Pelodiscus sinensis: one gene and its partner. The protein of the gene in region 1 binds, or shares a complex with, the protein of each later gene. Links are inferred from orthologs where the notes say so. Each region holds a gene or a part of one and is shown on either strand. Other genes may lie near its edges. The genes, in order: ANP32A and NME1.

Evidence for each region.
Region 2: ANP32A (region 1) and NME1 share a complex: the UniProt entries of both Homo sapiens proteins name them as parts of the SET complex. The link is inferred for Pelodiscus sinensis from reciprocal best matches to the Homo sapiens genes ANP32A and NME1.

What each region holds. Positions count from the first base shown.
Region 1 is NC_134724.1:2,511,266-2,528,157, forward strand, and holds the start of ANP32A (acidic leucine-rich nuclear phosphoprotein 32 family member A), read left to right. Parts: upstream 1-7,856; 5' UTR 7,857-8,003; coding exon 8,004-8,057; intron 8,058-10,054; exon of another isoform or gene 10,055-10,069; coding exon of another isoform or gene 10,070-10,072; intron 10,073-10,163; exon of another isoform or gene 10,164-10,263; coding exon of another isoform or gene 10,264-10,281; intron 10,282-10,727; exon of another isoform or gene 10,728-10,873; coding exon of another isoform or gene 10,874-10,906; intron 10,907-16,892. UniProt on the Homo sapiens protein: Multifunctional protein that is involved in the regulation of many processes including tumor suppression, apoptosis, cell cycle progression or transcription. Promotes apoptosis by favouring the activation of caspase-9/CASP9 and allowing apoptosome formation.
Region 2 is NC_134730.1:15,290,051-15,306,324, forward strand, and holds NME1 (nucleoside diphosphate kinase A), read left to right. Parts: upstream 1-9,998; 5' UTR 9,999-10,213; exon of another isoform or gene 10,214-10,217; intron 10,218-10,318; exon of another isoform or gene 10,319-10,342; intron 10,343-11,218; 5' UTR 11,219-11,222; coding exon 11,223-11,351; intron 11,352-11,866; coding exon 11,867-11,968; intron 11,969-12,869; coding exon 12,870-12,982; intron 12,983-13,729; coding exon 13,730-13,847; 3' UTR 13,848-14,044; downstream 14,045-16,274. UniProt on the Homo sapiens protein: Major role in the synthesis of nucleoside triphosphates other than ATP. The ATP gamma phosphate is transferred to the NDP beta phosphate via a ping-pong mechanism, using a phosphorylated active-site intermediate.

The DNA of each region.
Region 1 (16,892 bases):
ATGTGGCCAAAAAGCCTAACCCGCGATTTTTAAAGGGGCAGCATTGTTTTTTGCTCAACAACTCTGCTGATGGGGAGCTCTTCCTTTCTTTGCTCAACAATTCTGGTGCGGCTCTTCGCATTTCTTCCGCCACTGTTTCAGCTCTCTTCGTTTAATGGGTTGGTCACCCCTGCAGTAACTAGCTAATCGACCTGGCCGGGGCAGCTCTCTCACCTGGCGTGGCAGGCTCCTGCCCACGGTGTGATATTTAACCAGTTAAACAATATAATTTTAATCGTTTAACCAGTTAACTATTTTAATGGGTTTTTATACCCCTAGCTGTGTGAAAGGCTAGGACTGTTGACCTGAACATCCCTTAGATTTTCTCTGGAGTGGCTCGACAGGAGTGTCTCCCTTGACCCTGGGAAGGCTGTGGCTTAAACTGATTGGAGGAAGGGACAAGGACATAGAGGTCTAATATCTCCAGGGTTGTATAGGAATCCTTGAGACCATAGAGTTTAGTGGTGGTCAGTTCTGCAAACCAGGTGTATCCATCGAGGCTTTCTGGGGCCAGCAGAGTGCCCACCACCAAGGCTTTTGGTGCTGGCAGAGGGAAGCTTCTGGTCTACTCCAAAGTTCCAGTTAGTGAGTGGGCTCAGAGAAACTCCACGGATTTGAGAACCACTGTGTGTGCCGTAGTTTGTGGCCACGGACCCCACAATGCCGGCTGAACCACCACCCCCGAGCCTCTCTTGCAGGTAGGGAAACCTTGTTCTAAAGCAAGGATAGCAGAGCAGTCGCTACCGTGACCAAAAGTAGGTTGAACTATAGCTCCTCTCCCATCAGTGCCCCTCTCCTAAAGGAGGCAGACCTGTGTGATTCTGAGGAACACCTGAAGAGCAGGCTTGCAGATCAGTGGTAGCCAGTAACTGACCCAATGTTCACCAGTGTCAGAAGAGCAAGTGGATCCGGGAGGAAGACCAGGCTTGGCACTGCAGAAATGCAAGTTGCAGTGAAGTTGACCTGGGAGATCCGCACCGGTCTGAGGAAGCGTACAGGTACCCAGTCGATCTGTCCTTTGATCAGTACTGGGGTCACAGAGATTCTCTATGTTCTCTCCGGTATTCCTGCTGGGGGAGGGCAGGCACACATGCCTCACAAAGTCTGCATCTTACCACCACCAAGCCTCGCTTTGATCCTCTCTACCCTGCTCCCAATCCAGGGACCACGCTGGGCAGAGAAACTTCTGCCTGTCCTGGTCACATGTGTGACTCAGAGGGCAATCTTTGGCGTGACATCTGCCATGACGGGAAATGCTGCCTCAGCAGCGACTGCGGTGATCCCAGTGGGTTTACACCAAGCCCAAGGTCCCATGAAGACTGGCGTGGGCAGCGCAAGTACATAACATCCTGTGCTGCTTGTAGGCACGCAGAGCTGTCTCTGTCCAGGGTGGCCAACTGAGAATGGGCTGGACTACTCCGCTCAGTTTGAGACGTGGCCCTTAAGCTCAGCTGTGGGTGAAGTAGTGCCCGGTATGGAACCTTGATCTTCCCAAGGCTTGTCCTTCCCCTTATGGGAAACAGATCTTCCTCTCCATCTTTTTCACTGGAGCCGCAGAAAGGGAACAGTGCCAGCTGGTAGATGGTACCACTGGAGCACTGAAGTCATGGTTCCTGGCGCTGAGTAAGAGTGCTGCTTTGTCACTGGGGCGAGTGCAAACTCCGTAAGGGCTTTTGAGCCAAATGTCTCTTTACTACTTTGTCCCGAGCTTGAAGGACTTGCTGAGTCCCAACGGGGATCCTAACAAGTCCCTAAGTACAGTACTATGAAAAACAGAGCGAAACAACTACAAAACAAACTAGAAGAACAAAGTCCAACAAGAAGCACCCTCACAGGCAGCAAGAAGGAACTGAGGGTTGAGGGAACTGGTGGCACTCTCTTTACCATGGCATATACACACTACTCCAGGGCACTAGAGCTGGTCCACTACAGATATTGTGGAAGGAAAATATTTCCAGCACCAGTGCAATCACTTTGAGCAATCACACACAGAATGAGGAACAAAAGCCTGTAAGTTTCTACAGAAGCAACACACCGACTTGGGTAAGTTTTAATTTAGTCTGAGCAATAATTGAAAAAGATACTTTTTGGAATTATAGTTCTTGGAGAATGCATTCCACTGTTTGTCACATGGAACTTAAAATCAGGCTTCCCAGGCTCCGTTCTCAGCTTTGTCATTGATTTGCTATATAACAAGGAATTCACCTGTGTAAATCAAACCACAGACAAATTTTATCTATGAGATTTACTTACCCCCTGTATGTTATGATTTAAAACTTAAATTTTGCAAAGCACACGGATGCTATGGTTTGTGCTAGGTATGTGTGGATTATTTGGAAATTTTAATCTCACGCTACTGAGTGTATGATATCCTGTGCTAAGACTCTAATAGTAGGTTCCTCTAAGATTAAGGTTATTGGGGGGGAAAAAAAAGCCCATTAGAAACACGTACTCCAGCAGTAGAATATAGTTAGATATTTAGCTGCAGTAATTCTTACAATCATATTAAATGCTTGATGCACTTGGGGCTGGAAAATAAGGATATATTGGTAAGACCTTTGGAATATTTTCCTCTTCCAAAAAATTAATGAGATCACAATGTCAATTTCCTGCCTTTACAGGATTAAGATGCTATACATTTGTGTATAATTTCTCTAAAAAGCCTACAAGATCAGTAATATATCTGAATTGACAATGTATAAGACAATTGATTCAGTAGGTATATTCAAAAATATATAAATAAATAACTCAATTATGGTTCAATTTTGCTTCAAATGAAGTCTTTTACTATTAAGGCTAGGCTATTTAAAATGATTTTACTTTGGTTTATTTTTGTTTTAAAGCTAATAAAAATCTTTTTGTGACCAAACTGCTTGTTAACAGTAGTGGAAGATCTAGCTTTTTAATCTGAAAATGCATGAATAGCTGTAAAAATATGCTCTCTTTCAGGTTTGGGCACTTGTTCTGTGTTGGGAGACACTGTCAAAAATTAAACTATGTGCTCTTCTTTTCAAAACTTATAGAACTCCCTGTGGTAAGAGGTAGGAAAAAAAGGAATTTCATTTATTTCTCACTGAAGTTTTATGTGATCACATTTACACAGCAGTTAATTTTCAATTGATTTTTAAGAGATGGAACTTAATACAAACCTAACAAAACCAAGTTTGTACTTATATGATTTTATCATTTGGGAGTAATAATACCTAGCTTTTACATAACACTTTTCATTATATCTTCTCTCAAACTGCTATGTAAAAGGAAAATATATTTTCAGTCCTTGGAAAAAATATTTATATGGCACAGATAGATCTAGTTAAGGTTCTAAATCCTTTTATTTCCACAAGCAACTTGAGGCTCATAACCTAGTATTCAAAATTCACTGAAGGACTAAACTTTGCACAATGTCTCAGCCTAAGAGACAATTTTGTTCACAATGTTTGAAGGAAATGGATTTGACCTCTTTTAAAGTAAAATTCAAATTATGTATCCTTCTTCATTCAGTATTCTTAAAGTTCTTTACAAACATTAACTTGTTTATGACTTTTCCAGGGTCATATCAAATCATAAGCAGAACAAGAAAAAAATTAGGAGTCCAGGCTTTTACTCTTACATGAATTCTAAAGAGGGGGAGGGGGAAATAATTCTGACCACTTCCAAGCCAATTTTATTTTTAACTATCAATCTGTTTTGCTTTTAAGTTTGTGCTTTCAACATATGGTTTCCTCCAGCCTAAAACCTTCTGATGAAGCATCCCTCTATACCAAGAGCTTCTCAGGCCTACCTAGTTCAATACATATTATTTCAGAGCCTATGAAGCTCAGTAATAAAAACTAGCCTGACATTTGTGTTTGTCCAGAACTCTGAACATTTAAAACTAGCCTAAGGACTGTTATAATGTTCTCAATAAGGCTGCATGCTTCTTGGGGGGGAGAGTGGGGAAGAGAGAAGAGTGCCAGACTGAGAGTCTTGCACACTGATCCCAGTGAAAATGGCCATCCCTGATAAATCCATTCATATACAGAACCCAATGAGTGTCTTTTACTGCGAGCTAAATACCAATGGAACCAATATTTGACAGTTAGCCTTACCAACATGCATTTGGCACCATAGACCTCTCTCACCTCTTAATCTGGCAACAGGATACACCAAAGCATTCTGAAATAAGACTGCAAGGCCTTCTTTGTGACAGTCCTTCATTGTAAGACCACACTACACAAGTGTCTTCACAGGGACCCAGAGATGTCTCAAGAGAACACTGCCCTTTTGGGATCTGATTTACAAATAACACATTCTGTTTCCACGCATGTGGTGTTTCAGCCTCTGACGCTTGTCACAACATGCTTCCTCCAGAACTAGTAGCTTCCATGGCTTGCACAGACAAGTGGTCCCATCCAGTTGTGTGTGTGGGAGTCACTTATCTCACCTATACCTTTGTGTTTAGTCTCAGGCTACGTCTACACTGGCAGGTTCTTGTGCAAGAACAGCCGTTCTTGTGCAAGAATCTGCAGAGCGAACACACTGCCCACCCTCTCTTGCGGAAGATTTACAGTACGGCATGGTAAGAGAGGGCTTCTTGCGCACGAGCTACGCTATTTTTTAACAGGTGTAAGCCCTCTTGCGCAAGAGGGCAGTGTGGATACTCGGCAGGGGTTTCTTGTGCAAGAAAGTCCTATGGCTAAAATGGTCATCAGAGCTTTCTTGCGCAAGCGAGCCTCTACACTGCCATGGGCGCTCTTGTGCAAAAGCACAGCTTGCACATGGCACTGTGGACGTTTTCTTGCGCAAGAAGCCGCCAGTGTAGACATAGCCTCAGGGTATAGCATGGTATGGAGGAAGCTGGGGAAGTAGGGACAAAAGATAAGTGAAAAGGTACAATAAGAAGCAACTTGGGATGTGGCAGCCTCTCTCAAGCTGAGGCAGCAGCTCAGCCGCAGCGTAGGCGCACGCATCCCTTCCAGAGGGGGGAACCACAGGAAAAGGTCCTTCCATGTCTCTCGCAGCCCCAAGACTGTGCTCCTCTGCACAGCTCCCCACCAAGCTACGTGGGGACAGAGAGAACCTGATCACGTCAGGGCTGCATCCCAGACATTCAGTGAGCAGCCCTGCCCCATTCCAACAGGCCTCCATACCAACCACCCACCAATGGCGCTTGGCCTCCACCCACCCCATTTCCCCCCATTCTTCCTCCTGCACCATACACTGTGACCAACAGCCCTCACCTCCCCCAAACCCACAGTCCCCCTCCATGCACCAACCCCTCCCAGGCCACCCTACATCCCTCTGAACCCTCAATCTCCCTCCACGGACCCGACCCCTCCCAGCCCCCCAAACCTCCTCCATGTACCCTGACCCCTCCAACTCCCCCCCACAGCCTCCCTTCATGCACCCAATCCCACTGGGCTCCCCCTCCGATCCCCCAAACCCTCAGAGCCCCTCCATGCACCCCAACCCAACTCCCCCTTCAGCCCTCCAAACCCTCAGCCTTCCTCCGCACACCCGACCCCACCCAGCTCCCCAAATCCTCAGTCCCTCTCTGTGCACCCCTGACCCTGCTGAGCTTCCCCTAAACCCCCCCCAAAACCCTGTCCCCCTCCCATGCACCTGGACCCCACTCAGCTCCGCTAGTCCCCCAAACTCAGCCCCCTTCTGTGCACCCCAGCCCCACCCAGCTCCCCAAAACCTCAGACCCCCTCCGTGCACCCAACTCCACCGAGCTCCCCGTATTCCCCCAAACTCTGTCCCCCTCCGTGAACCCTAACCCCACTCAGCTCCCTTACAGTCCCCCAAACTCTGTCCACCTCCATGCACCCCAGCCCCACCCAGATCCCCTACAGCTCCCGAATACCTCAGACCCCCTCCGTACACCCGACCCCACTGAGCTCTCCCTACAGCCCCGCAAACCATCCGCCTTCATGCACCCCAACCCCACTCATCTCCCCCTACAGCCCTCTAACCCCGTCTGCCTTTGTGCACCCCAACTCCACCCAGCTCCTCTACAGCACCCCAAACCCTGTCCCCTCCATGCATCCCAACCCCACCCTGCTCCCCTACAGCCCTGTACCCTCGGTGCACCCAAAACACAACCAGCTCCCCTACAGTCCCCCAAAACCTCAAACCCCCTCTGTACACCTGACCCCAGAGCTCACCCTACAGCCCCCCCAAACCCTGTCCCCTCTGTGCACCCCAACCCCACCCTTTCCTACAGCCCCCCAAAACCTCAGCCCTCTCCATGCACCCCAACCCCACCCTGCTCCGTCCCCCAAAACCTCAGCCCCCTCCATGCACCCTAACCCCACTGAGCTCCCCCTACAGCCCCCCAAACCTCAACCCCCTCCATGCACCCCAACCCCACCCAGCTCCTCCTACAGCCCCCTCCATGCACCCCAACCCCACCTAGCTCCGCCTACAGCCCCCCAAAACCTCAACCCCCTCCATGCACCCCAACCCCACCCAGCTCCTCCTACAGCCCCCTCCATGCACCACAACCCCACCCAGCTCCCCTACAGCCCCCCAAAACCTCAACCCCACCTAGCTCCACCTACAGCCTCCCAAAACCTCAACCCCCTCCATGCACCCCAATCCCACCCTGCTCCCCTACAGCCCCCATGCACCCCAACCCCCCGAGCCCCCCAAAACCTCAGCCCCCTCCATGCACCCCAACCCCCCAAAACCTCAGCCCCCTCCACGCACCCCAACCCCCCAAAACCTCAGCCCCCTCCACGCACCCCAACCCCCGTGAGCCCCCCACCTCAGTCCCCTCCATGCACCCTAACCCCCCGAGCTCCCCAACCTTAGCCCCCTCCATGCACCCCAACCCCCCGAGCCCCCCCAAAACCTCAGCCCCCTCCATGCACCCCAACCCCCCGAGCCCCCCAAAACCTCAGCCCCCTCCATGCACCCCAACCCCCCCAAAACCTCAGCCCCCTCCATGCACCCCAACCCCCCCAAAACCTCAGCCCCCTCCACGCACCCCAACCCCCCTGAGCCCCCCCCAACCTTAGCCCCCTCCATGCACCCCAACCCCCCCAACCTCAGCCCCCTCCACGCACCCCAACCCCCCGAGCCCCCCCCAACCTCAGCCCCCTCCACGCACCCCAACCCCCCGAGCCCCCCCCAACCTCAGCCCCCTCCACGCACCCCAACCCCCCGAGCCCCCCCCAACCTCAGCCCCCTCCACGCACCCCAACCCCCCGAGCCCCCCCAACCTCAGCCCCCTCCACGCACCCCAACCCCCCGAGCCCCCCAACCTCAGCCCCCCCACGCACCCCAACCCCCCTGAGCCCCCCCAACCTCAGCCCCCCCACGCACCCCAACCCCCCAGAGCCCCCCCCAACCTCAGCCCCCCCCCCACGCACCCCAACCCCCCAGAGCCCGCCCCACCGCCCCGTCCGCGCACCCCCGACCCCACCCTCAGTCCCACGTGCCGCCCTCGGCCCCGCGGCCCCTCCCCCCGGCGGCCCGCGCGCCATTTCTCTCCCCGCCGCCCCTCAGGGCGCCGCGCCCCTCCCCCTCGGGCCCGGCCGCTGCCCCAGGGCGCCGCCCCCCGGCGCGGGGCGAACGTGGCGGGAAAGCGCTGCGCCCCCATCCCACCGCGGAGCCGCCGCCGCTCCTGCCCCATCAGCCACCAGCAGCGACTGAGCCTCCGCTCGCGCTCGGGCTGTCCCCTGGCCGGCTCCGCCGCTCGCCCATTGGCTCCCGCCGCGCTGTGCCCGCCCCATTGGCTCCAGCCGCCAGCTGCCGCGTCGCGGTTGGCCGAGCCCACTGTCAATCGCGGCGGAGGCCCCGGGAGTGCCCGCCTCCGCTGTTATCAGGTTAGTGTTAGCCGCGGTGCTGGGGCTCGGGATTCCAAGCGGAGCTGGTTGAGCTCTCAAAGTCCCTCACCGCGCTGGCTTTGGGGGGGTCTTCAGTGGTGTCAATACAAAAGAGGAGCTGAGCAAAGCGAGAGACTCCTGCTAACCAGGGACATGGACATGAAGAAAAGGATCCACTTAGAGCTGCGGAACAGGACGCCCTCAGATGTAAGCAATGCAAAAAAAAAATCCATCCCACATTTTGGGGGGTGCATTAAAATGATTAGAAAATGTAGGGGTGCAGCTGGAATAGGGAACGCCCGTGCCAGCGGCTGCTCAAGCCGCTGTTGTCCTTGAGGTGCCTACCGGTGTGTGGATGTCTCCGTGCACCTAAATTGGGGTGCCCAAAGGCGCACGCGTTATGGTCTAGGGGAAAACTAAGCTGCTCCCGAGTCTGCTGGTGTGAAATGCATTCAAGGAGCTTGCAAGGCATTAAATGAAAATAAGTTGGTGGCTCTCGCTGGCTGGTTTTGTTGGCAAATATTTGCACGGAGTGTTGGGCAGGGAGGGAGCGTGAGGGAGTTGAAAATGGTTTAGTTTAAAGTGCGTCTTCATTTCTTTGCAGTGATCAGGCAAGAGAGACTGGGGAGCCATATTTGTAACTTTGTAGTCCTCATGAACGCGCCCTTTCTCTCTCTCCCTCTCTCCAGATGCTGAGAAGACAAAAAATAGGATTTTTAAGCAAACCTTCAGTGGTTTTAAAAATCGGAGCCAGCTGACAATATCGCAAGCTTTTAATTTTTAAAAAATGCCCCAATAAATCCACTCTCCACCCTCTCTCCATCCACACACACACAAAAAGGCTGGATGTTTTTTTTTTTCCTTGGGGCTGGACTTAGGTTGTTGTTCAGCGTCTGACTGAATAAACGAGAACAAGAAAGTTTGTCAGGACAAAAATAGACCGTGGCTGGTTGGGCACAAATTATGCAGACAAGAGAAAACCTAGTTACCTCTCCTCCTTTTTCTGTTTGTCTCTTACTGTTACCGCAGCGATAGCAATCGAAAGGCGAGAGGGGTGGGGGTCACCCAACTTGGGCAGACCCCCTAACCTCTTGCCAAATGCACCCAAGGAGAAATTAAGGTTGCTTCTGTGTAGGGGTGGGTGTGGGTGTTCTCTTGCGATGGGAATTTGGTGTTTTGTGCTGCGCAAAGGTGACCGGAGGTCTCTCCTCCTTAATCATCGGTGCATGGGATCGTTGCAAGTGCCTTTTCCTACCTTGGGAAGTTTTAGTGCAATTAACACACAGTAAAAAGCCAGTCTCTGGGGGAAACCCTCCCCTCCAAAACAACCGATCCCACACATGTGGCCATGGATTTTTAGAAGCCAAGACCGAAGAGGGCATTATATAATGGCTTAAATACTAAGTTTATTTGCGGGGAAGGGGAGGTGTTCTCCGGCTCGGTTTCCCTCTTGCAGACCAGACAGCTTTGAAAGGCGCTGGACGTAGATAGGAGTGAATAAACACATACCTTTCCAGAAATCAAAAGTATCCCAGGGGGACAGGGGGAAAACTGCCCCGCACTTTTCCTGTCGCCAGTAAAATGTCTGACGGACAAAGCTGGGCGGATTTACGTAACCTTCGCTTTAAACTTTAAAAAGTATTGAGGGGGGAGGGAGGGAGTGTGTATGGAGCTGGCTAGTGGGTCAGACACCTTCCCTTGTATCTGAGCAGCAACACCTATTAATACAAAGTGCTGTGTGGTGTGTGTGTGTGTGTGCGCGTGTGTGTGCGTGCAGGTTGCTGCATGAGCGGGGCTGCTCGTGCTCCCTTGTGTTGCACCGCGTGTATGTGCCAGCTAGCTCAGTACAAGAGGGCTTGTTTGTGAGAGCCCTGCAAAGAGGACAAAGAGCAAACGGAGGAGCTTCCTAATGAGGGGCCTCTGTCCCTACATCTCTGCCGGGGAGCTGAAATATTCCTCCCTCCCTCCACCCCATGAAATCATTCCCAACTTTGTATCCTCGCGTTGGCAGCGCCACACTAAACCTGAAGTAGGACAAGACGCCATGTTTTTTCCATCGAGCTGCAAAGGAGAAAAAGGCTGGGGTATGAAACCAAGGCGATTTATGCTTTAGGATCCGTGCGAACACCCCAAAGGAGGGAATTCTTAAAGCCACCAGCGGTGCAGTTAGCAAACATTCCTTGTGAAATTCTGGAGGGACTTGAGGGGGGTTGCTTTAAATGGTAATGCGTGTTACAACCTAAAATGAGAAGCTTTCATAGGTCTGCAGTTTCCTATTAATGATTATTCGGTGGGGAGGAGAAATGCTTCGTGTTTTGTTCGAGGGCAGGTCGAAGAGGTGGAATGGTGGCGGTTAGGGCGGCTGACGGAAGCAATGAGGGCGCACGGAGGGCTCGCTCTGTGTGTGTGTAACATGACTGCCAGCATTCAGGTCTGCCATTTTGTCACTGTTTTGTCACAGAGGGGGGAGGGGAGAAGGTTGTTTTTAAAGAAGATAACAATCTTATAGTCCGATTCCCAGCCAGGCACGACTAACGGCGTGTTCGAACCCGAATCCTGCTGCAGTGGGGCTGATGTGGCCGGGGAGGGGTCTTCAGGGAGGGAGGCGGGCATGTATGGGTGCGTGTCTGTGCAAAGGGGAGTGCTCGCTTGTTCCCCTGCACAAACGGCTCTTGGGGAGCGCGGACTCGGGAGCCTGTATCTTTAAATGGAACCTTGGCGTCTCGAAATGGAACGTTGTGTTCGCGAGCGTTCCGCGGGGCGGTGACGAACGTTCGGGGGAGACTGGAAGGCCGGTCGCACGCTCGCCAGGAGCGCCTGGCTGCATCGCCCCGTTCCGCTCGGCGCCGGCGCGGGCTGGGCCTGGCGCCCAGCCTGGGCTTGTGCCTTGTCCCGTTTCCCACCCGAGCTGCTGCGCGGGAGCTGGAAGAAGCGAGCAGACCTAGCAGGTCGCATGCACAGTGGGTTCCGGATGGCGATACACTCACTGCCGGCTGCAGCCGCGATATGGATGAGTCGGGAATATGCCTTGTTCCTGGGCAGGGCCCTGCGGGAAGGTAGGTCTTGAGGGTTTTCCCCCCCCCCTGTGGATTATGTAGCAGTAACCGTTTAGCGCCGCTTGAGGTTTATCTTCCCCACCACCACCATCACCATTTTTAACAAGGATGCTGGCGGTAAAAAATTTCTCCAGAGTGCTGCACGGCACGTTTTGGCGACAGGAGTGTTAAGCCGAATGTGGTTTACTTCCCTCCCTGCTGGGTTTTTGGTTTAGGAAAGTAACACGAAGAGACTTTCTTTGATTGGGACAGTGTTTCTTTGCACTTGCATAACTTGATCTTTGGTGGGTAAAGACACCCTGTCCCATATGGTAGAAATGTAGTCTTTAAAGTGCTACACAGTCCTGTTTTTTGTTTCACCTGCCCCATATGGTCAGTCATAAAGTGTTCCTTATCTAACTTGGTACCTGCTGTCACCTGTTTCAAGTCTTTTTTTCTTTGGTTCTGAATGAACTCTCCCATGCAAAGGCGATAATCAAAACTGTTCCAGATTTCATTATGCAAATGTATTGTAAATACGATTGGGAGAACGATACTTGTCGATATTGCGGTTTTTACCAGCCAGATCCAAAGGGGACACAGTAGCGAGGCCAGCACATCCTCATGTCGGGGAGTAATAAAATTTACAATGGGGGGGCTTGCCACTCTTCAGACTATCCCTTGAAATCTGATTTCTTGACTCTGTGCCTTTGGGCACTAACTAGAGGGGCAGACTGAATTTTAAAAGTAATGATTGCTTGTTCCATCCACAACTTGGTGCAGATTGTGTATTTCAGTATAGACAGACCAGTGAAATTAAATGAGATAGTTCATTAGTCTGGGAGTTTTACATAGGTTAAGATGATGCAGTATCTTCAGTAAGCGGCAGTACATATTTGCATCATAATCCATATTTTAACAGTGTCTGGCCATTAAAAGAAACCGACTCTGGTTTTGTAAAGAAGGCCAATTTTTTCTAAGTCAATTGAACTGCAGCTGAGCCATTTGTGCTTTGGTATCCACACCACAGGCTGTGTTGTTCATCTTGACAGGGTTAGGGTTTTGCAAATCAAGAGCAGTGGTGAAGCAGTGTACCAGAATTTCATTACTTTTGTGGGTTTATGGTAATGTTCTGCAGGCTTTAGAGTGATGTACTATCATTCTTGTTTGAAATGCTGCTTAATACCATGTAACAGAGCTGGTTACTCTGAGCGGTTAAATCTTATAATCCTGCAGGTTTGGTATACATATTAATTAACAAAAGCACATATTGCAAGTGTATTTAAGGTGGAATGCACAGGGGCCCGATTTTCTCCAGCACCCCTTTTCTTTGTGTTTGTTTTAATTTGAATTTAGTGCTGGTGAAAGGTGCCAGATTGATAGTACAATACCTGAAATTATTTTTCCTATGTATTGTACTGTTGATGGCTGTGTAGTTTTTCTATTGGACTTTTCTCTCTCCCCCCGCCCCCCCCCACTGTGTTTCATGTTGAGAAGGTTCTTCATATGCCATGCACATACTAGGGATGTGAATGGTTAACCGGTAAGCCTCACCCGTAACAGGTTACCGCTAACTGGCAGCGGCCGGAGAAGCCCTCCTACCCGCTGCACCCACCGTGAGCAGGGGGCTGCTCCAGCCCTGCAGGTCCCCCACGGGTGGGGGTGCTCCAGCTGGGGCAGAGCAGCCTCCATCCATGATTAACTGGTTAAGCATAAAGTTTAATCAGTTAACTAATTAAATGGGATTTTACATCCCTAACATGTACACATCTAAGCTCGTATCTACCCTTGGAGTCTTCTGATGTAAAGACCTGTACACTTGGAATTAGAACAGATTATCTCATAGGTTACTACAGAGCCATCAGAAGGCACTGTAATTAATGAACTAGTAGAAGCTTTTGTGGGCAGATTTTTGGGCACTCCTGTTTATTTGTATTGTAAACAGCCTAATTTGTTAGCTAAATACAACAGCTGTAAAGCAAATTATCAGTATTCCGGTTCTGGCTGGCTATGCAACATAGACCTTGTATAGGTTTTTGAAATTGTGCTAAAATGCCTTTTTTATGCTTATGTTTGTTGTTGTTTATGCTTACATTTTTACATTCGGTTGTGGATTACTTGAGTCCAAACACTTCATGATTGGTCTAAAAGAGGCACTGTTAACTTGAACTTAGGTCAACTAAAATAAAAGTTGAAAGTTTACTTCAGTTTTTTTCACGACTCTGGACTCCCCAACCCAAAAACATCTGTTTAATTTCATTTATGTCTGTTCTTCTCTTTTGTGTTATGGCCAACCTACCCAAACAAAAGGGAAAACAGTTGATAATGACTATTTGTAATTCCTGTGAAATACAGAAGGTAAACGTTAAGATTTAATTTTTCCTCACTATGTTACTCTTTTCATTGTAATGATAGTAAATGGCTTAAGTTGGTGTCTCTTTAAAGACCTTTCCTGTACTGAACAAATACAAAAATGAAAGGCATTCGAACTGTTCTAGCAGCCTCTCTGGATTTCTGACCTGCTGGTATTCTGCTAAATTCTCAAAAATGTTGATTTGAACTATACATCTCTGCACCTATACCACTGGATCTCCAGAAGTGGTGTTGTATTAAGGTGAATAAGTAGAGCCCCGCGAATCTACGGCTATCTGCTATATATCCACAGGTCAGGGCTCATTTTTGCAGATACAAAATTTGTGTCCATAACTGTATTTGCACAGGGTTCTATGAGTAAGTTGTTTGACCAGGAACAGCTGATATTGGAAACAGGTATAGAATCATAGAATCATAGAATAATAGGACTGGAAGGGACCTCGAGAGGCCATCGAGTCCAGCCCCCCGCCCTCAAGGCAGGACCAAGCTCCACCTACACCATCCCTGACAGATATCTATCTAACCTGTTCTTAAATATCTCCAGAGAGGGAGATTCCACCACCTCCCTTGGCAATTTATTCCAATATTTGACCACCCTGACAGTTAGGAATTTTTTCCTAATGTCCAATCTAAACCTCCCCTGCTGCACTTTAAGCCCATTATTCCTTGTCCTGTCCTCAGAAACCAAGAGGAACAAATTTTCTCCTTCCTCCTTGTGACACCCTTTTAGATATTTGAAAACCGCTATCATGTCCCCCCTTAATCTTCTTTTTTCCAAACTAAACAAGCCCAGTTCATGAAGCCTGGCTTCATAGGTCATGTTCTCTAGACCTTTAATCATTCTTGTCGCTCTTCTCTGTACCCTTTCCAATTTCTCCACATCTTTCTTGAAATGTGGCGCCCAGAACTGGACACAGTACTCCAGCTGAGGCCTAACTAGTGCAGAGTAGAGCGGCAGAATGACTTCACGAGTTTTGCTTACAACACACCTGTTGATACAACCTAGAATCATATTTGCTTTTTTTGCAACAGCATCACACTGTTGACTCATATTCAACTTGTGGTCCACTATGACCCCTAGATCCCTTTCCGCCATGCTCCTTCCTAGACAGTCGCTTCCCATCTTGTATGTATGGAACTGATTGTTCCTTCCTAAGTGGAGCACTTTGCATTTCTCTTTATTAAACCTCATCCTGTTTACCTCTGACCATTTCTCTAACTTGCTAAGGTCATTTTGAATTATGTCCCTATCCTCCAAAGAAGTCGCAACCCCACCCAGTTTGCTATCATCTGCAAACTTAAGATAGGTCCAAAGGAAACAGTGAAGCAAACATTTACCTCATTTAATTGAAAATAATGGATGAGAATGATCACGCAGAGATACAGGATTTATGTGTGAGATCCGCAGTGGGCTGTCAAGAAATCTTTTTCTTTTTAAAACTTGACTAAATTGTAAGCATGCGTAGGGATCAAGATAGAAACTTGCTGCCTTGCTTTCTAATCAGTCCACAATGTTGCTATTATCTGACAGCTTTTCTAGCGCACGCACGCGTGGTTTTATCCTGACATTTCCCCCTCAACTGTTCACATTTTTTCTTAGACGATCAGTCTCTCAAATGCAGTCATACTTATGCAAGGTGTTAGGGTGATTTGTTTGTGTACCGAACAAGCAAACATGATCTTGAAAAATGGTTCACTCTTGATAAAAGTATCAGAACAAAAGTAGCTGGGGTGTCGGTAACGAATGAAGACATAACAGGGGAAGCTGAAAAAAGAACACCAAAAGCTTAAAAGAGACACATAACAGGAAGAACGACTCACTAGTACTGACTCGTGAGGGCCTTGGTGATAGGATTGATTTAAACCTGAATCTGATAACTTGTCCTACAGCCAGATCTGCACACACAGAATTTGTCATCTACGCTGCTGCACTTCTACACCAAGACGTACAAAAATGTTTTGAGCTTAACCACGTGGCTCTTCAAAATGCAGAATCAGAGGCAATAGTTCAGGACCCAGAGTACACTGTTCTTCCTCTTAATTAATCTTGAATTCCTAAGGCCTGTATTGTCTACAAAGGGGTACGTCTAGCAATATTGAATTTGTAGTGTAAAGGGTGATGGCTTCCTTTTTACAAACGGATATGTTGTATGTATTGCACCCAAGTTAGGAATGATCATAGACATGGACAATACTTACCCATTCCACATCTTGGGATGAATACATTTTTAATGGAGCTGTAAAGGCTGGGGAAAGATGAGAATTGGACCCACAAAAATGGAACTACTTATGTTTTGAGTGAGTGAATCACTTTCAAAGTAAAATGCAGGACAATGTAGCACTTTAAAGACTAACAAGATGGTTTATTAGATGATGAGCTTTCGTGGGCCAGACCCACTTCCTCAGATCAAAGTAAATAATGTTAAGCCTTTGGTTCTGAGGGGTGCTATGAACTCAGTAGTTCTGGTTTCCCAGCTAGAATCTCTGGTGTGGGTAGAAACGTGTGGAATTCCATGTGAGCAGACTTTGGGAGGGAACAGATTGGCCACCATCTGACTCTCACATCGAGACTTTTCTTGCTGTTGGAAGAGCAGTCCCCTCCTTTCTCCCCCTAGGGATGTTAAATTGCGTGGATTAAGAGAGGAAACTGTAGATGGAGGGGGGGGGGACTTAATATGTTTAAAAGGCTGAGGTGTAGCAGGCGACCCAGTGCAAGCCGGGAATCAGCTGCTAAGAGGCAGCAAGAAGGGAGCAACTAGTCCAGAGGTAGTCGACTAGTCACTTACATCCCTACTTCCTCCCGCCCCCACCCACCGAATGTGGCAGCTCTCAGTAAACAGTGTGATAATCACCTGGGCGAGTAAAATGAAATCTTGTTCGTACTGTTGCTCCCTAATAGGAAGCGTTAGGAGTTGCTTTCTGCTGATAGACCTAGCTGCAGTGGCTAGTGGTTGCTTGACCGTTAACTTGTTGTTGTTATAACATACAAACTATTTTCATTTCTTCCTCCACCTTCCCTTTGCCAAATCATTCTTCAAATCACATTTGTAATCTTTTTTTTTTTTCTGTGCCTCTTCTCTAACTTACTAACTTTGCTTTTTTTCCTGCTAGATTTTTACCTCCATTATGGGTTTTGCTTCCTTCATGCTTCTCTTCAAAATACACTGTTTCTTCTTCTTTTTTTAAATTAGTAACTTTTTGGGTCCGGTCTTGCAGCCCTTACCTACGTAAGTAGTCTGAGTTAATCTGAACAAGATACAAGATTTGGGCCTATTATCAATCTTTTCTTCACTTCGACTTGTGTAACAAGAGTCACAAGACTGACTCATTATTGGGCACTTCTAATCACACCTTGTTTACACTTCCACAGTAAGTTGATGTAAGATATGCAGTTCCAGGTATGTGAATACCATAGCTGGAGTCAGTGTAGCTTAGGTCGACTTTCGGCAATGTCTTTACTGCGCTTTGTCAACAGGAGACACTCTCCTTTTGACTCCCTTAATCTTCTAATTCCGGTGGAGTACCAGAGTTGACCAAAGAATACTCTGCCATCGATTTAGCAGGTCTTCACTAGACCCACTAAATCAACCTCTGCTGCATTGATTGCAGCAGCATGGCTTTCTGGTAAGTGTAA
Region 2 (16,274 bases), on another chromosome or scaffold:
TTTGCGCAAGAGGGCCAGTGTAGACAACGCGGTATTGTTTTGCGCAAAAAAGCCCCAATCGCGAAAATGGCGATTGGGGCTTTCTTGCGCAAAACCGCATCTAGATTGGCACGGACGCTTTTCTGCAAAAAGTGCTTTTGCAGAAAAGAATCCGTGCCAATCTAGACGCTCTTTTCCACAAGTGCTTTTAACAGAAAAACTTTTTCATTAAAAAGCATTTGCGGAAAATCATGCCAGTCTAAACGTAGCCAAGAAGTAATTCTTTCACTCGACTCTGCATGGCCTCAGCTGAAATAATGTAGAAAAATTAAAGTAAGTCCCAAAAAGAGCAACAAAAATGATTAAAGGTCTAGGAAACATGATCTATCAGGGAAGACTGAAGAATAACTAAGTTTGTATAGTCTGTAGAAGCCTGGGCCCCCAGCATACATAATAACAGGTTTCAAGTCCATTAAAGGTTGTTACAAGGAAGAGAAAGAAAAATTGTTCTTCATAACTATCAAATTCATGGTCCATTTTGGTCAATTTCATGGTCATGTGATATTTTAAACAATAAATGTCATGATTTCATGATTTTAGATATTTAAATTTGATTTTTCACATTGTAGTTATAGGGAAGTAAGGATGGCATGGTGTGGTTTTGTCACCATTACTTCTATGCTACTGCCTTCAGAACTGGGCCCTTGGCCAGCACCTGTCACTCTCTGACCACCCAGCTCTGAAGGCATTAGCACAAAGGTAAGAGTGTCATGGTATACTATTACCACACTTACATCTGCACTTCTGCTATTGGGGTGCTGCCTACAGAGCTGGGTACCCAGCCAATAACCACCTCTCTCTGATCACCCCACTCTGAAGGCAGGGCAGAAGTTATGGTGTATTATAGAGTAAAAGCACACAAGCACAAAAACACCGAGATTCATGAGGCAGACCAGATTTCATGGTCCGTGACGCATTTTGCATGGCTGTGAATTTGGAAGGGCCCTATTCATAACCTCTGAGGATAGGACAAGAAGCAGTAAACTTAAATTGCAGCAAAGACTGTTAGTTTGGGCAATAGGAAAAACTTCCTATTTCTCAGGGTAAATAAGCACTGGCATTAACTGTCTAGGAAGGTTGTGGAATCTTAGTCATTGGAGATTTTGAAAAGCAAGTTAGACAAACACCTGGGAGGGATGGTCTAGCTCCGTGGTGTCCAACAAGTTCACCACTAGCCATATGTAGCTATTTGGCCAGTTGAGTATGGCTAGTTTGCTATAGTTACAGTGGCAACTGCTTCAGAACTGTTTGGACACCACGGGTCTAGATAATATTTAGTCCTAACCTGAGTCAGGTCCTTTCCAATCATTTCTACCTCTAGGGGATTATAGGGCCTGGAACAAAAATCTGCCTGAGGCCTGCTCCTGCCCCTTCCCACCTTTGCTCCACACTTTCCTGCCCCCATTGCACCCCCTCCTGCAAATCCCCTTCCCAAGTGATGCAACCCAGGAGATTACTCCCTGGCGGCGGGAGCAGATATTGGACCCACCCCACACTCACCATGACAGAGGGAGGCGAAGCAATCCAGCCCCATCCTGCTCAGTTCCCTCAAGCTCAGCTCCCAGCCATGTCGCTCCGCTTCCGCAAAGCAACCCAGTTGGAGTATGGTGGGGTGGAATGGAACAGACTAGGTCTGTATTGCTCCACTTCCCATGGCTTCTGCCACGGTTAGTGAGTGTAGGGGCGGGTCCAACCCCTGATGTTGCACCAGGCCCTCTGAATATAAGAACGGCCATACTGGGTCAGACCAAAGGTCCATCTAGCCCAGTATCCTGTCTGCGAACAATGGTCAATACCAGATGGAAGGGAACACAACAGTTAATCCTCACGTGATCCCTGTCCTGTTATGCATTTCCAGACAAACAGAGGCTAGGGACTCCATTCCTACCCATCCTGGCTAATAATCATTGATGGACCTAACCTCCATGAATCTATCTAGCTCTTTTTTGAACCCTGTTAAAGTCCTAGTCTTCACATCCCTTGGCAAGGAGTTCCACAGGTTGACTGTGCACTAAGTGAAGAAAAACTTCCTTTTGTTTGTTTTAAACCTGCTGCCTATTAACTTCATTTGGTGACCCCCTAGTTCTTATATTGTGGGAATAAGTAAATAACTTTTCCTTATTCACTTTTTCCACATCAGTCAGGATTTTATAGCCCTCTATCATATCCCCCCTTAGTCTCTTCTTTTCTAAAATGAAAAATCCAAGTCTTTTTAATCTCTCTTCATACGGGACCTGATCCAAACCCCTCATTATTTTTGTTGCCCTTTTCTGCACCTTTTGCAGTGCCAATTTATCTTTTTGGAGATGAGGCAACCACATCTAAATGCAGTATTCAAGATAAGGTGTACCATGATTTTATATAGGGGTAATAAGACATTTTCTGTCTTATTCTGTATCCCCTTTTTTTTAAATGATTTCTAACATTCTGTTTGCTACTTTGAATGCTGCTGCACACTGAGTGGATGTTTTCAGAGAACTAGCCACAATGACTCCAAGATCTCTTTCTTAAGTAGTTATAGCTAAATTTGTCCCCATCATATTGTATGTATAATTGTTGTTGTTTTTTCCAATGTGCATTACTTTACATTTATCAACATGAAATTTCATTTGCCATTTTGTTGCCCAATCACTTAGTTTAGTGAAATCTTTTTGAATCTCTTCACAGTCTGCTTTGGTCTTAACTATCTTGAGCAGTTTCATATCATTTGCAAATTTTGCCACGTCACTGTTTACCCCTTTCTCTAGATCATTTATAAATAAATTGAATAGGATTGGTCCCAGGACAGACCCTTGGGGGACTCCACTAGTTACCTCTCTCCACTCGGAAAACTTACCATTTATTCCTACCCTTTGTTTCCTGTCTTTTAACCAGTTACCAGACTATGAAAGGAGCTTCCCTCTTATGCCATGACAAATGACTTTACTTAAGAGGTATTGGTGAGGAACCTTGTCAAAGGCTTTCTGGAAATCTAAGTACATTATATTCACTGGATCCCCTTTGTCCACATGTTTGTTGACCCCCCTCAAAGAACTCTAGCAGATTAGTAAGGCATGATTTCCCTTGACAGAAACCATGTTGAATTTCCCCAATAAATTATGTTCATCTTCATGTCTGACAATTTTATTCTTTTACTATAGTTTCAAGAAATTTGCCCGGTACTGATGTTAGACTTACCGGTCTGTAATTGCCGGGATCACCTCTAGAGCCCTTTTTAAATATTGGCATCGCCTCTGGTAATCACCTAGGCTGTCCTGGGCCCCACAGGACCCCCAAAGTGCGGGGGCTGAGACAGCTGCTTGGAACTGTCCGATGGTTCTGCTTCCAGTTCTGTGATTTTATAATGCATTTGAGACAGCATTAGGACAGCAGGGTGCCTGGCGAAGCTCAGATGAATGCATTTTCTGAAATAGGATTTATTAGTATTTGTCACAATTTATTAGTTGGTGGAAAAAGTTTCATTCACTGTACATTCTTTAAATCAGTAAGTCCTTCAAGAGTTTCAGTTAATAAGGTCATTTGTGTGTTTCTTTCTAGCATGTGCACTGCTGCCATCTGCATCAATGGTGTTGTTTATACTTCAGTCTGAGGGCCCTCTGCTGGCTATGCAGAAGCAGATCCATATAATCATAGAACTATAGTGTTGGAAAGGACCACAAGGGTCATATAGGTCAGTGTTTTTCCATAACCAGTCTGTGGACTGGCGCTCATCCCTGAGACCTCCCAGATACAATTTAGGAAGGCAGCAAGATGGTCCCTGGTATTAAAAAGGTTGAGGAAACACTGATATATAGTCTAAATTTATGCCAAGAAAATCCTACGCAAACAGACTTTTGAGGATATAAAATATAAACCTGGAATAAGTTTTTCTCCAGATCATAACAAGATGAAGGCAAGTCAAATTTTGGACTTAAGCAGGTTGATCAATTGCTCTTTAATTGTGGTGATAATAATACATTATTATACACACGTAAATTAGGAAAATCTCAGAAAATGCTGGAGAAGCAAGCAAGGATTTTATCCATTAATTATGTAGGAAGATATTGAAGGTCAAAGAGGGTTACATGACTTGCTTAAGGTCACATAGTGAGTCAGGGTGCGTCTACACTGCAGTTTTTTTCCAGAGAAACTGCTGTTTTTTCTGGAAAAACAATACTTATGTCCACACTGCCACTGAGTTCTTTTGACAGAAAATTGAAAGAACAGAGGGGTTTTTCTGATGGCGGTAAATCTCATTCTGCGAGGAAGAAGCCTTTTTCCAAAAAAGTTTTTTTGGAAATAGGCGTGTGTGGATACAGAAAAGGGAGTTATTTCGAACGAAGAGGCCTCCAGAAAATTACACAGGTGCTCTGGTTGCCACTCCATCCAGACTAATCACAACTTAAATGCAAGATAGCATCCAATCAATGTGGATGCTATCTTTCGAAAAAGCACATCGCTTTTCCATTCCCCTTTTGCTTGTGGATGCTTTCTTTCAAAATAAGCTTTTCCGGAAGATCTCTTCCGGAAAAGCTTCTTCCAAAAGAAGCTTGCAGTCTAGACATAACCTCAGTGACAGAGTTGGCAATAGATTTCAGAAGCTTGTGGTTCTCAGCCCAGTGCTTAGTTCAAGGATTTTGCTAATCTCTTATCATGAGGTTTTATCATTAAAGATACCTAAAATATGAAATGATAAGCTCCTCTTTAGACATATTATATTCATATATGAATAATCTGGGCTAATTTCTATACTATTTTAACATTAGAGATGGAAACAGAGAAACATAGACTTGAAAAGATGTTAGATACTCCATATTCCACAATTTTCATCGGCTGTTTCAAAATTGTTTCAGAGAATGCCACCATGGAAATTTTCTGTGGATTTCTATGAGCTACTGGCTTTCTCTGACTTTTAATGCTATAATGAACTATATCACCATACTGTTTATATTGCTAAGGTATTAGGTAACAAAGTCTATCAAACTAGTAAAGAAAAAATGAAAGGGCTTATCACTTAGTTGAAATCTAACTAATGGCTGTTCCATTAATTTCCACCAGAGAGCAGCAGAGGCTTATACTGTACTTTCATTTGTCCTGCTTCTGAACATTACTGCACTTAATACTTGTGTATTGTGTATGTTTAAATACACCAGGTCAGTGGAGTTGCATAGTCGTAAGTCTAGTTACAAGAAGATGTAGATCCAAGCTACAAGGTTTGTACCCAGACTGGAACTTTCCCAATATTTAGAGTTGTACCAATGTAGACTTTTAGCTCAGACTACTATAAAGTTGTGGCCAGGGTCATGAACTTAGGATCCAGACCTGAACTCCCCTAAAGACTGAGGGGAGTATGGATGGTGTTCACTTTCAGAACTTTGGGTTAAGGTCTGTCTCCTAAAATGTCACACTGTGCTAGGTGGCATACAAGAGACTTTAAACAATTAGACCAACAGTCCATTATTATATCTTGGAGACCTCTGTATCACACTTTCACTTTATGTGCTGTTAATTCACCATCCTATGGGGTGACCATCCTGCCCCACCTTCACTTCTTCCTCTCTTCTCCTCTTGTCCCACCACCAGCTCTTTCCAGAGAGCTACTGTCTCTCTTATTTGGATTCATTATGTAATTGAATTCTTACTTAAAACACAATGAAAACATTGTAATCAGGGGGAAATGTGCTGGTTCAGTATATTATAATTATAAATACAGCAGACTTTTATAGCATGTTGTATACTATATATTGCTCAACATGTTGTGCTAATCATGGATTAGTCACAGAAGTGGCTAAGATAACCCTGGTTTAATGAGCTTAAATGATTTGGCACAGATCACACAGCAAGTCTGTGATAAAGATAGAAATATAACTCAGTTCTCATGGCAGGCCCTGTGCTTTAATCACTAAATCATGTTTTCTTTTTTAAAAAATTCTGTTTGATGATATATAGTCAAGTGCACTGACAGAATACCTCTTTTGCCACCCATTCCTTGCAGATATGGTACTTTGAATTTCACTGTTGTTTTGCCTGAGGAAGGATTGTAGGATCAAGATCTATATCAATAATATTAAATGTCTTAAATAAAGTTGCAGTGAAATAATATAGAATATAACAAAATGGGATACAAGTAAAACATTCAGAAATACTAGGTCAAAAATACTTTAAAGATAAATATGTTGGAAAGTGCAGGACTTTATATTTTGTAGTATCTTGAAATAAATTATAAACACAGGAAAATTTAGCAGATCACAGCCATGGTGAAACCAGAAAAAAAGAGAACTGCATACTAATAATCCTACAATGCGAATACAGGCCCACCAGTGAAATACATCTATTTACATCAGACCTACATTTGGTCCATTATAACCAGAAATAAACATAGATGTGCTTTGGTGTCAGACTAAATTGTCATAGAGGAAAACATTAAAAGTCCTTGTCGTTGAAAATGCTAACTTTATCCCAGATTGTAGCTAAGGTCTTGAGAGAAGAAAGTCAAGCCTAAGTAACTTTTCTATCAAGAAAAATCAGGAAGTAGATCTTAGAAAGCTTGCCTCACTCTCAGAAATAGATTCAGGGCAACATGGGGAAGAAGCTTTTTCCTCTAAAAGAAGGAAAGTGAAAGCCTGCCCATTTACATCCCTTTATAGCAGAGCATATTGGAAATGGAAGAAACTTGGGACCTCATATATTATAATTTATTCTATTGCTCAATTAGTGCTGGAGGCAAAAACAATAGCAGGAAATGAGATGTTAGCTCAAACAACTGAAGTACTGATGTACTATCCAACTGTGGGATGTCTACAGGTAGTGTTTTTGTATCTGAAAAGGTATACTGATTCATTTAAGAGGAAGGCTTAAATTAATAAGACTTTGATAATAAAGTACCTTTGGACAATTGGATTCCATATAACTTTCTGTGTCTACTGACTTAAAAAATCATTGGCTGTGTCTACATTGGCGCGATCTTGCGCAAAAGCAACTGCTTTTGTGCAAAAACTTGCTGCCTGTCTACACTGGCCACGAGTTCTTGTGCAAGTACACTGACGTTCTAATGTGTGAAATCAGTGCTTCTTGCACAAGAACTATGATGCTCCCGCTCAGGAATAAGCCCTCTTGTGCAACTGTTCTCTAGCAAGAAAGCCCTATGGTTAAAATGGCCATCAGAGCTTTCTTGCGCAAGAGAGCGTCTACACTGGCATGGATGCTCTTGCGCAAAAGAACATCTCTTGCGCAAACGCACATGCCAGTGTAGACGCTCTCTTCTGGAAGAGTTTTTGCATAAGAACTCTTCCACAAAAGAGTTCTTGTGCAAGATCATGCCACTGTAGACGTAGCATTATGTTTAGGGAACTATTAATTTCTCTTTCTCTGTGCTACCATGTCTATGCTTTGCATAGAAATTCTCACCTGTTGCTATGACTGATGAGATTCAGCAGTAAGGAAAATATTAACTTAAAAACAAATACTAAAAAAACAAGATGTAAATTAATGTCTAACAGAAAGATATATGGAACAATGACTAGTTTATAAAATTTGTATAAAGCCTTATAAAACTTTAAAATTGCACGCTAGGGATGTATATATACATACCCACACATACACAATAAAGTTCAATTATATGCATATAGTTTAAAAATATATTCAGAGGAAATTATAGTATAGAAATTATAGTATAGAAATAGATTGTTTGTATAAAATCCACAATGTGCTAGTTACTTTCCATGTACTTCATACTTCATGAGAAATAGATTCTGCCCCAAGAAGTTAAAAGAATAAAAATTGCTTTCCAAAAGCCATTTCCTGTTTGTGCTGATGTGCCTTGCTTTATGTTGATTTGTAGATAACTAGTTGCAAAGATACAGTTAGAAATTCTCTGAGCATTGCTTGACTGCAAGCATATTTCAGCTTGTGAGCTGTGAGAATACCAGTAAGAGATGTTTGTAACTTGATTGCCTGGGCTTTAAAATTGCCTGGTAAACGGGAATTGAATCTGTCAAAGGGAAAAATTCTGGCTTTGTGCATGTCTGATTTGACAAACTCGTTGGTTTATGGGACTTGATGTAATTACCAATTAGATATAACTATCAAAACAAATGTACTTAAAGGTTTTCTGTATAAAGGAGAGTGGAAAAAATAAATTCCATACAGGGCAGTTATTAAAGGGTTGAAAACAAGGAGTAAATAGATTAGAAATGTGAAATTTCCTGGCATCCCCACTGCAAAGAAACTGGAAAATCAGAGGTTGAGGACTTGAAAATACTTCATTAGATGTACATTTTATGTCGAAGGAAACAAGAAAGCATACCAGGAAATGAGATGGGGTTAAAGGTCAGATTAAAAAAAAGATCAAGGGCATCCACAGGAAAATAAAAAGGTGCTTGAAATAAAAATCCAATTAATGGATTAAAGGCAAAAGGTCAAGGCATAAATAAAAGGGTTCTAGGGAAGAACAGTGAAAGGATCAGAACAGGACAAGGTCAGGAAGCTAATACTATGCAATTGGAAAGGGAGATTACAAAGATAAGGTATATATAAAATAATGAAGTGAAATGAGAGATAAATATATAGGTGAGGGATGCCTAAACATGATATGATAGAAGTGCAGAAGTTTACTAATTTATTTCACAGATCTCAGAGAGTAGTTATTACAGTCAAGCTAGAAGGGATAAGTTTTGGTTTCAGTTCTGTTCAATATCTTCATTGATAATTTAGATAATGGCATAAAAAGTACACTGAAAGTTTGCAGACAATACCAACATGGGAAGGGATATGTGTGCTTTGGAGGATAGGATTAAAATTCAAAATGACCTAGACAAACTGGAGAAATTGTCTGAAATACAGAGTCAGGAGCGGCCTGAGGCCGGCTGAGGCAGCTGGCGCCCTAGGCGGAATGTGCGATCGGTGCCCTCACCTTCACAGGCATCAATGGTCGTGACATCATCATCGGGCAACTGCCTAGTTTGCCTGGGTTCACGGGCCGCCCCTGCATAGAGTGAAATTCCATAAGGACAAATATACAGTACTCCACTTAGGAAAGAACAATCCATTGCACACATACAAAATGGGAAATGACTGCCTAGGAGGGAGTTTTGCCAAAAGTGATCTGGAGGTTATAGTGAACCACAAGCTAAATATGAGTCAACAGCCTAACACTGCAGCAAAATCCTAGTTGCTGGAAATGCAGAGACTTGAAAACATACTTTGAACTGGATTTGGAGATAAGTAGCTAGCTAGAGAATGTAAGAAGGTAGAAGGTCTCTGCCTAGGACAGCGCAACCGCTTTGCCAAACCACTGTGGACCCTTGAAGTTGAAAAATTGGGTGGGAAGTCTATGAAAAAGTGAGTGTGCCTTGGCTTAGGTGTGGCTGTTCAGCCAGAGCAGATTTCCCATACACTAATTGTAGTTAAATGGTGGGAAGGGCCCCAACAACCCTATTGTCAATAGGCACCTGCAGGCAGGACCCTGGTATCTACGTCCTACCATTTCCTCTATATGCAACTGCAGGACACTTTCACTGTAGTAGACAAACAGCTTTTGCTGTTATTTTAATGCTCCACAACGAGTGAAAAGACACCCTTGCTCTGGGAGAAGTGCGCTCACCTTAGGACGGAGGTGGGTCAGGAGGGCTGGATAGCAGATCATAAAAAGCGCCGTTATGTGTGTGACTGGCAGAGCACGGGGCGGCTAGCTAGATTGTGTGAAAAATCAGGACAGGGGATGATGGAGGGGAATAGGCACCGAAGAAAAAGCCCCTCATAATGGGACTGATCCTAGAACATCAGGACATCTGGTCACCTCAGGTTGGTCCCCGCACCCACTGCCCTCGCCCTCTCTGGTCCCATTCCAAGCTACACGCTGCCCTGCTGGGAACTCTCTGGGGCTGGCTGCAGCGAGGCGCACCACGCGGTGCACCAGCCTCCCTCCTCTGCCACAGCGATGGCCTCGCGTTGCAAGAGCGCCGCCCATTCCCCGGGCGAGGGAGAGTCGCTGGGCTCCCTGGCGTCGGACTCGAGCGTCATCTCAGCCCACCCCCGCCACGGCGTGTGCGCGCCCCGAGATAGCATCCCCGTGGGGGGACCCAGCTGGCAGCCGGCGTGCGCTGGAGCACGTGGGGGCGGCCAGGAGGCGTGTTCCGAGCTGGGTGGCAGCGGCGGTGTTGCCGCAGCTACCACCCGACCCGCAGACTGCAGGCAGGCAGGTGAGGGGGCGGCCGCCGGGAGGGGTGAGCTGAGGGGCTTGCATGGGGCGGGGGCACGTATGCAGTTATTGAGAGAAGAGGGGCTGGTGGGGAGTGGAAGTAAGAAGGGGCGCCTGAGCCACCAAGTGAGACAATCAAGGTTCACATAAGGGAAGGGAATTGTAATTAAGCTTCTGCGCGTTTGTCTGCTGGTTGCCATCTGTTCTGGGCTGTTGGAAGGGGGAGCATTATTATTAGATGTTGAATTTTTGTGTGTGCCTTTTTTTGTATTTTACCCCTCTTAGGTTGTTTGGTATTGCTCTGGAATAGCTGGCTTGTTTCTCCAATTATTCATTCTATGCTAAACTGATAGTTGGGGATTGTGTTACCACCCTACTGCAATTGTTTTAAGTAGAGATGTGTTTTCATTCCTGAAAAATGCTTAATTGTTGGCTTTACATGTTAAAATCGTTGCAGACCTGGGTAATTGTGTAGTGTGTGCTTCTCAAAATGGCACTCTAGATACTCCAGTGTGACTTTCTTAGCTTTCATTCCCCACACACATTCTTAACATACTTCATTACTGCATTGATTGGCTGTAGATATAGATACATAGGGTTTTAATTTAGTCTGTTTTATCCTAAATTGAGGGTAGCATGGTATCAGAGTGCAGTTTGGAATACATCTGCCATACCATCCTGTAATCATCACTTAATATAACATTTCTGTGTTCTTGCTATGGACTAATTGTTCTTCAAATTCTCCTCAATATTTGTAGGACTATTACATGACATTTCTTTTTTTTCTTTCTTTTTTTTAGTAGCACTTTCTGGATATTTGTATGGTTTACTTGATCAGTGCAAGTTGCAGCTTAATGAGTTAATTTAGGTGATATCAGCTATGAGACTAATTCAAAGCACAATAAGGTTGTGGCAGATAGTGTCTATGCCTTCTAGATTTCTGTTGTGGCTGCATTTGCCCTCTAGTCCTGGAATATGGATTCTCTTTCTCCTGTCTTGTAGGACGATGGCATCCATTTCCGAGCGCACTTTCATTACCATCAAGCCTGATGGAGTCCAGCGGGGAATAGTGGGAGAAATCATCAAAAGATTTGAACAGAAGGGTTTCAAATTAGTGGCCATGAAATTAATACATGTGAGTTTCCCTCGTTTCTTTATTTATCCTTTATGTATAGAATGTAATCATATTTAGAGCAGGCTGGTGTACTTCACTCCGTGAAATATCTATTGTAATATTTTTAAATGAAATTTTAGAAATATCAAATGTCAAATTTTATGTCTGGATATTTTTGGAGACTTTCTATCATTCAGCTGTAGTTAAATGGTTTTGACATCCCAAGCAACCTAATTTTAGTAAGATGATGCCTTAGTCTGAGGAGAATATTCTTATAGGTGCCATTTACACTTAATAGGCATCTGTTGTACATCTACAGCAAAAATTGATTTCTTCTCAATTGGATACTGCTGAAACAATCTTGCTGAGTTAATTTATATTTTAAATTCATATAAACATAACACATCTAGCCAGTTGCTAAAAGCACTAATTTTTAAAGCGCATGCCTGTTTAAGGATTAATAGTGCTCTGTGGTTAATCTCTTGTGATTTAAAGATGCTCTTAAGTTCTTAGAGTAAATTACCTTTTTTTTGCAGGCCTCTGAAGACCTTCTGAAAGAACATTACATTGATCTGAAAGATCGGCCATTCTATGCTGGTTTGGTTAAATATATGCACTCTGGACCTGTTGTAGCTATGGTAAACTTTTAAACTGGCTTAAGAAAAACTAAAAAGTTGATGTGTCTTGTTTCATAACTTTGTTACATATTGAAAATGATACTACCTGTAAATGTAGTTTCATGTACAAATGTTTCCCTTTAACTTTTTTTTAATAGTTTCTTTTTTCCTATTGCAATGTGCCAAGCAGCAGGGGATGTGAACAGTGGTAAACTGACTGCAAAAAGTGCTGTCACATTCACAAAATAAGCAACTGGAAAAAAGAACAGTGAAATATTTAATGTTTCAAGTAGAGAAATCTTGTATTTCAGATTTACACTGCAAAATCATAGACTAAACTAGGTAAATGTGACCTTTTTTTAAAGAATCTCCGCTATGAGTTGCCCCTGTATACATCCATTCTTCACTAAAGTTGTTGATGTTTGTAGGAGCTGATGTGTTGTAAGTCTTCCTATTCCCTGCTCTTAAGGCATGTGCAAAATAATAATAAATAATAATAATAGCGCAAATGGAAATCAGCCATGGGGAAAAATTCCCTGCTATAAGTTGTGTTGCTATAAGTCCAAGTTTTTTGGAACATATCTTGGACTTAAATACTTTAGAGGTATAGGCTCACCTCGCTATGAGATCCCTGTGAGATTTTATGAGTTTAAGAAATTTTGAAATGGGATGCTTACCTGTTTGTTACACGTAAATCTGTTCAGTAGTACCCTCATGCTTTGGCTAGCAGTCAGCAGAAATTACAATAGCTTCTTGGAGACAGTTTCACTCCAATCCTTCAATGCCTTGCTTACAAATTCTTTGAAAAGGGGGACTTAACACCCACCCGGTAATGGGATCAAGTTGAATAACTTTGCCAACTCTCACTGTGTTAGTTACAGTTTGGATTCTGTAATCGTAATGGATTTATTTTATTTTTAAGGTGTGGGAAGGTCTTAATGTGGTTAAGACTGGCAGAGTAATGCTAGGAGAAACTAATCCAGCAGATTCCAAACCTGGTACCATCCGTGGTGACTTCTGTGTTCAAGTTGGCAGGTATGTTCTGAAATAGTTTTGATAAGACAAAGCCAATTTTTAATGCTGATGACTTACTTAGTTCATTGTTTTATAATTAAGTTTGGGGACGTGAAAACTAGAACAACTTGAAACTGTAGAAAAATTCAAGCAGCAGAATGTAAATATTGGAATTTGATCAATGTTATAGTAAAGACGTATAGACAAAGACTGAAATACTTTCTACAGCCCCTCAACTTTTTTTCATGGAGGTTTCCCATTTGAGTACTGACATATAACCCTACTTATTTTATGAGAACTAATAAGCTCTCTGCATGATGACTTGCCTCCTGGTCCTTTCTATCAGGATGTCCTGATAAACATGAGTGTCATTTGATAACATACATTTTAAAATGTTAAAATGGAATGAATTTTGTTATATAACAATTGGTAACAAAAACTTACTAACCACTGAAAAATATTTAAGAGCGTTAAGGCCCCTACTCTGCAAAGTGATTATATGTAGGAAGACCCCTTCCCCCAATAACTTCATCCAGATGCAGGGGTTCACCTCCACTAGATTATCTAGGACTGGAGGCAAAGGATATAAATAGAGATGGGGTTTTCCTTCTCCGTCCCCCACTATCAACACGGATGAGAGAAGCTTGTGTGTCATATTCATGAGTATGTTTATTAATAAATGTAGTCACGGTAACCAGAGAGGTTTTTCTAAAAATAAAATTCTTGTGCTTTTAATTCTATAATTGACTTTTCTTTTTCTTCTCTTAGGAACATCATTCATGGCAGTGACTCTGTAGAAAGTGCTGAAACAGAGATCAACCTGTGGTTCACTCCTGAGGAGTTGGTTGAATACACAAGCTGTGCTCATCAGTGGATATATGAGTAAAAACATGGTCTGTGACTTTTAACATCCATGCATCCCAATGATTATGGACCCAGAAATAGTTCCTATTGGTACTATCCTTTAATTATTTCAAGGCACTTCTGTATAAACTGGTGGAAATCTCTAATTTGTGTTGTGCATATTACATGTAACCAGTGTTATTAACTGCTGCTCTAATTAAAAAAGCTATTGAATTATTACTTGTGAAGCTTTATAACTCTGTGTGTATATAGAAGAGAAGGAGATTACAATAGAGGAGAGGATTTTTAATTAATGACTAAACACGAGGCATAAACTGCCATGAAATACTCTGTATCCACAGAGGATAATGTGGTGTATACCCATTAGCAAACAATCTAAAATGGCTTAGTGGCCTTAAGATTTGTTGTCAAACATAGTTAAATCACCAGGACACACATGCTGGTATGTAAACAGATCCATAATATACCCAAAATACAGGGAGTAAAAGAATGATATAGAAGTAAAGTCAAGCAAAAAAATTGATTTTAAAATTGTGATAAACATCTGTGGGAAATGTTCAATTATTTTCTCTCTCCAGAAAGTCAGTTCAGTTATACATAGGCAACAGCTTTACTCTGAAAGTAAGGATTTTAACCAGATTGTAATTTTAAACTCAATTTTTCACCCTAGCCTCAGTCATTTGCATAGCTCTTTAAGCGAGGATTAATATGGCAGCTTTATAAAATGTTCTTTTATGAGAAAAGAAGATTAACGCGCACAGGCCGCTCAGTATGCTTTACCTCCTTTCACTCTAGTATAGCATTTTGTTTGACATTGGCAAGAACATCAGCACTGAATTATATTTCCATGCAAAGAACTGACAGCTCAGATAGAGTCTTTCCTTGGTTGTTTGAATGGCAAAGTAAACTGTGCTTGGATAAACTTTTGAAAAAGTGACTTTGGCACTTAGGAGCCTAAGTCTCAGTAGTAATCATAGATTCATAGAATACTAGGACTGGAAGGGACCTCGAGAGGTCATCGAGTCCAGTCCCCTGCCCTCATGGCAGGACCAAGTACCAACTAGACCATCTCTGATAGACATTTATCTAACCTGCTCTAAATATCTCCACAGATGGTGATTCCATAACCTCCCTGGGCAATTTATTCCAGTGTTTAACCACCCTGACGATTAGGAACTTTTTCCTAATGTCCAACCTAAACCTCCCTTGCTGCAGTTTAAGCCTATTGCTTCTTGTTCTATCCTCAGAGGGCCAGATGAACAAGTTTTCTCCCTCCTCCTCATGACACCCTTTTAGATACCTGAAAACTATCATGTCCCCTCTCAATCTTCTCTTTTCTAAACTAAACAAACCCAATCAATGACCTTCTAAAATGTTAGCCATTGTATTTAAACTCATTCATATGATAGATTTCCTTTAATAATAAACAGATCTCAGTAGTGCAGTTCAGGACTATCCACATACCTTTCAGCCTCCTGGAGAGTTGCTATGGCTAGACTCCCAGTTCCTAATGTGCTAGTTCATTATCATAAATAACCAACATACTGCAACTGAGAAGCAGGTCTTTGTAATTTGGCTACAGTTGCGTATTTGAAATAGGGAGGTTACAATGTGTGTAATGGGTTAACCATGTAACTGCTGAAAATGTCAGTGGTTACACGCAGGGCAGCAATCAGCTCTCTGGAAGCTGGTGTGTGCCCATGAATGTTCTGGCTCTTGCCTGCTGCTCCATACTGCTGCCTCTGTATCAGAGGCAACAGTGCGGGACAGCAGTTGTCTCTCCGAGAGCTGTTCTGCATTTCTTCCTGCTTATGGTCTTGGTACGCAGGTGATATAGAGGCAGCTACGCGGGGTGGCAGCTGGCTCCATCGGAGCCAGACCAGGAATTATGCATAACCATTTGGGTAACTAATAAACTCATGCTTATAAGTTTAGTGGTTACCTATTTTAAATGGCTACGCTCTTACATCCCTAATTGGGAAAATCAACTGAATGTTTTAGATGGACCATTGTGACCTATGCTAGTTACCTCCTTCAGCTCACGTTACTGTTTCTTTAGCTCACAACAGCACGTAGATTGTTTAAGGTTGTCAACTCTCCCAAATGGACGGGATCAGACACCATATGAGACAAACTTTACCTGGGCTCTGTGGTCCAGGAACATCTGCCAGACCACAGATGTTGCTGGACCAGAGTCACGGTTAAGGAAGGTACAACCTGTATAATTGGTTAGAATAAATCTATGTATAAAAACTATATTTGCTTTGTGTTGTAATTATTTATAATATTTTAAATGATTAATATTAATGTGGGAAACCACCAAACACTAATTTAACCATAAATTCCTTTATTAAATGCAAAGGTACTTATACAATTGCTCTTACACATGCCTAAAAAGCCTAACAAATAAGCAATTACTACATCCAAAGAGTAACAAAACATATATAAA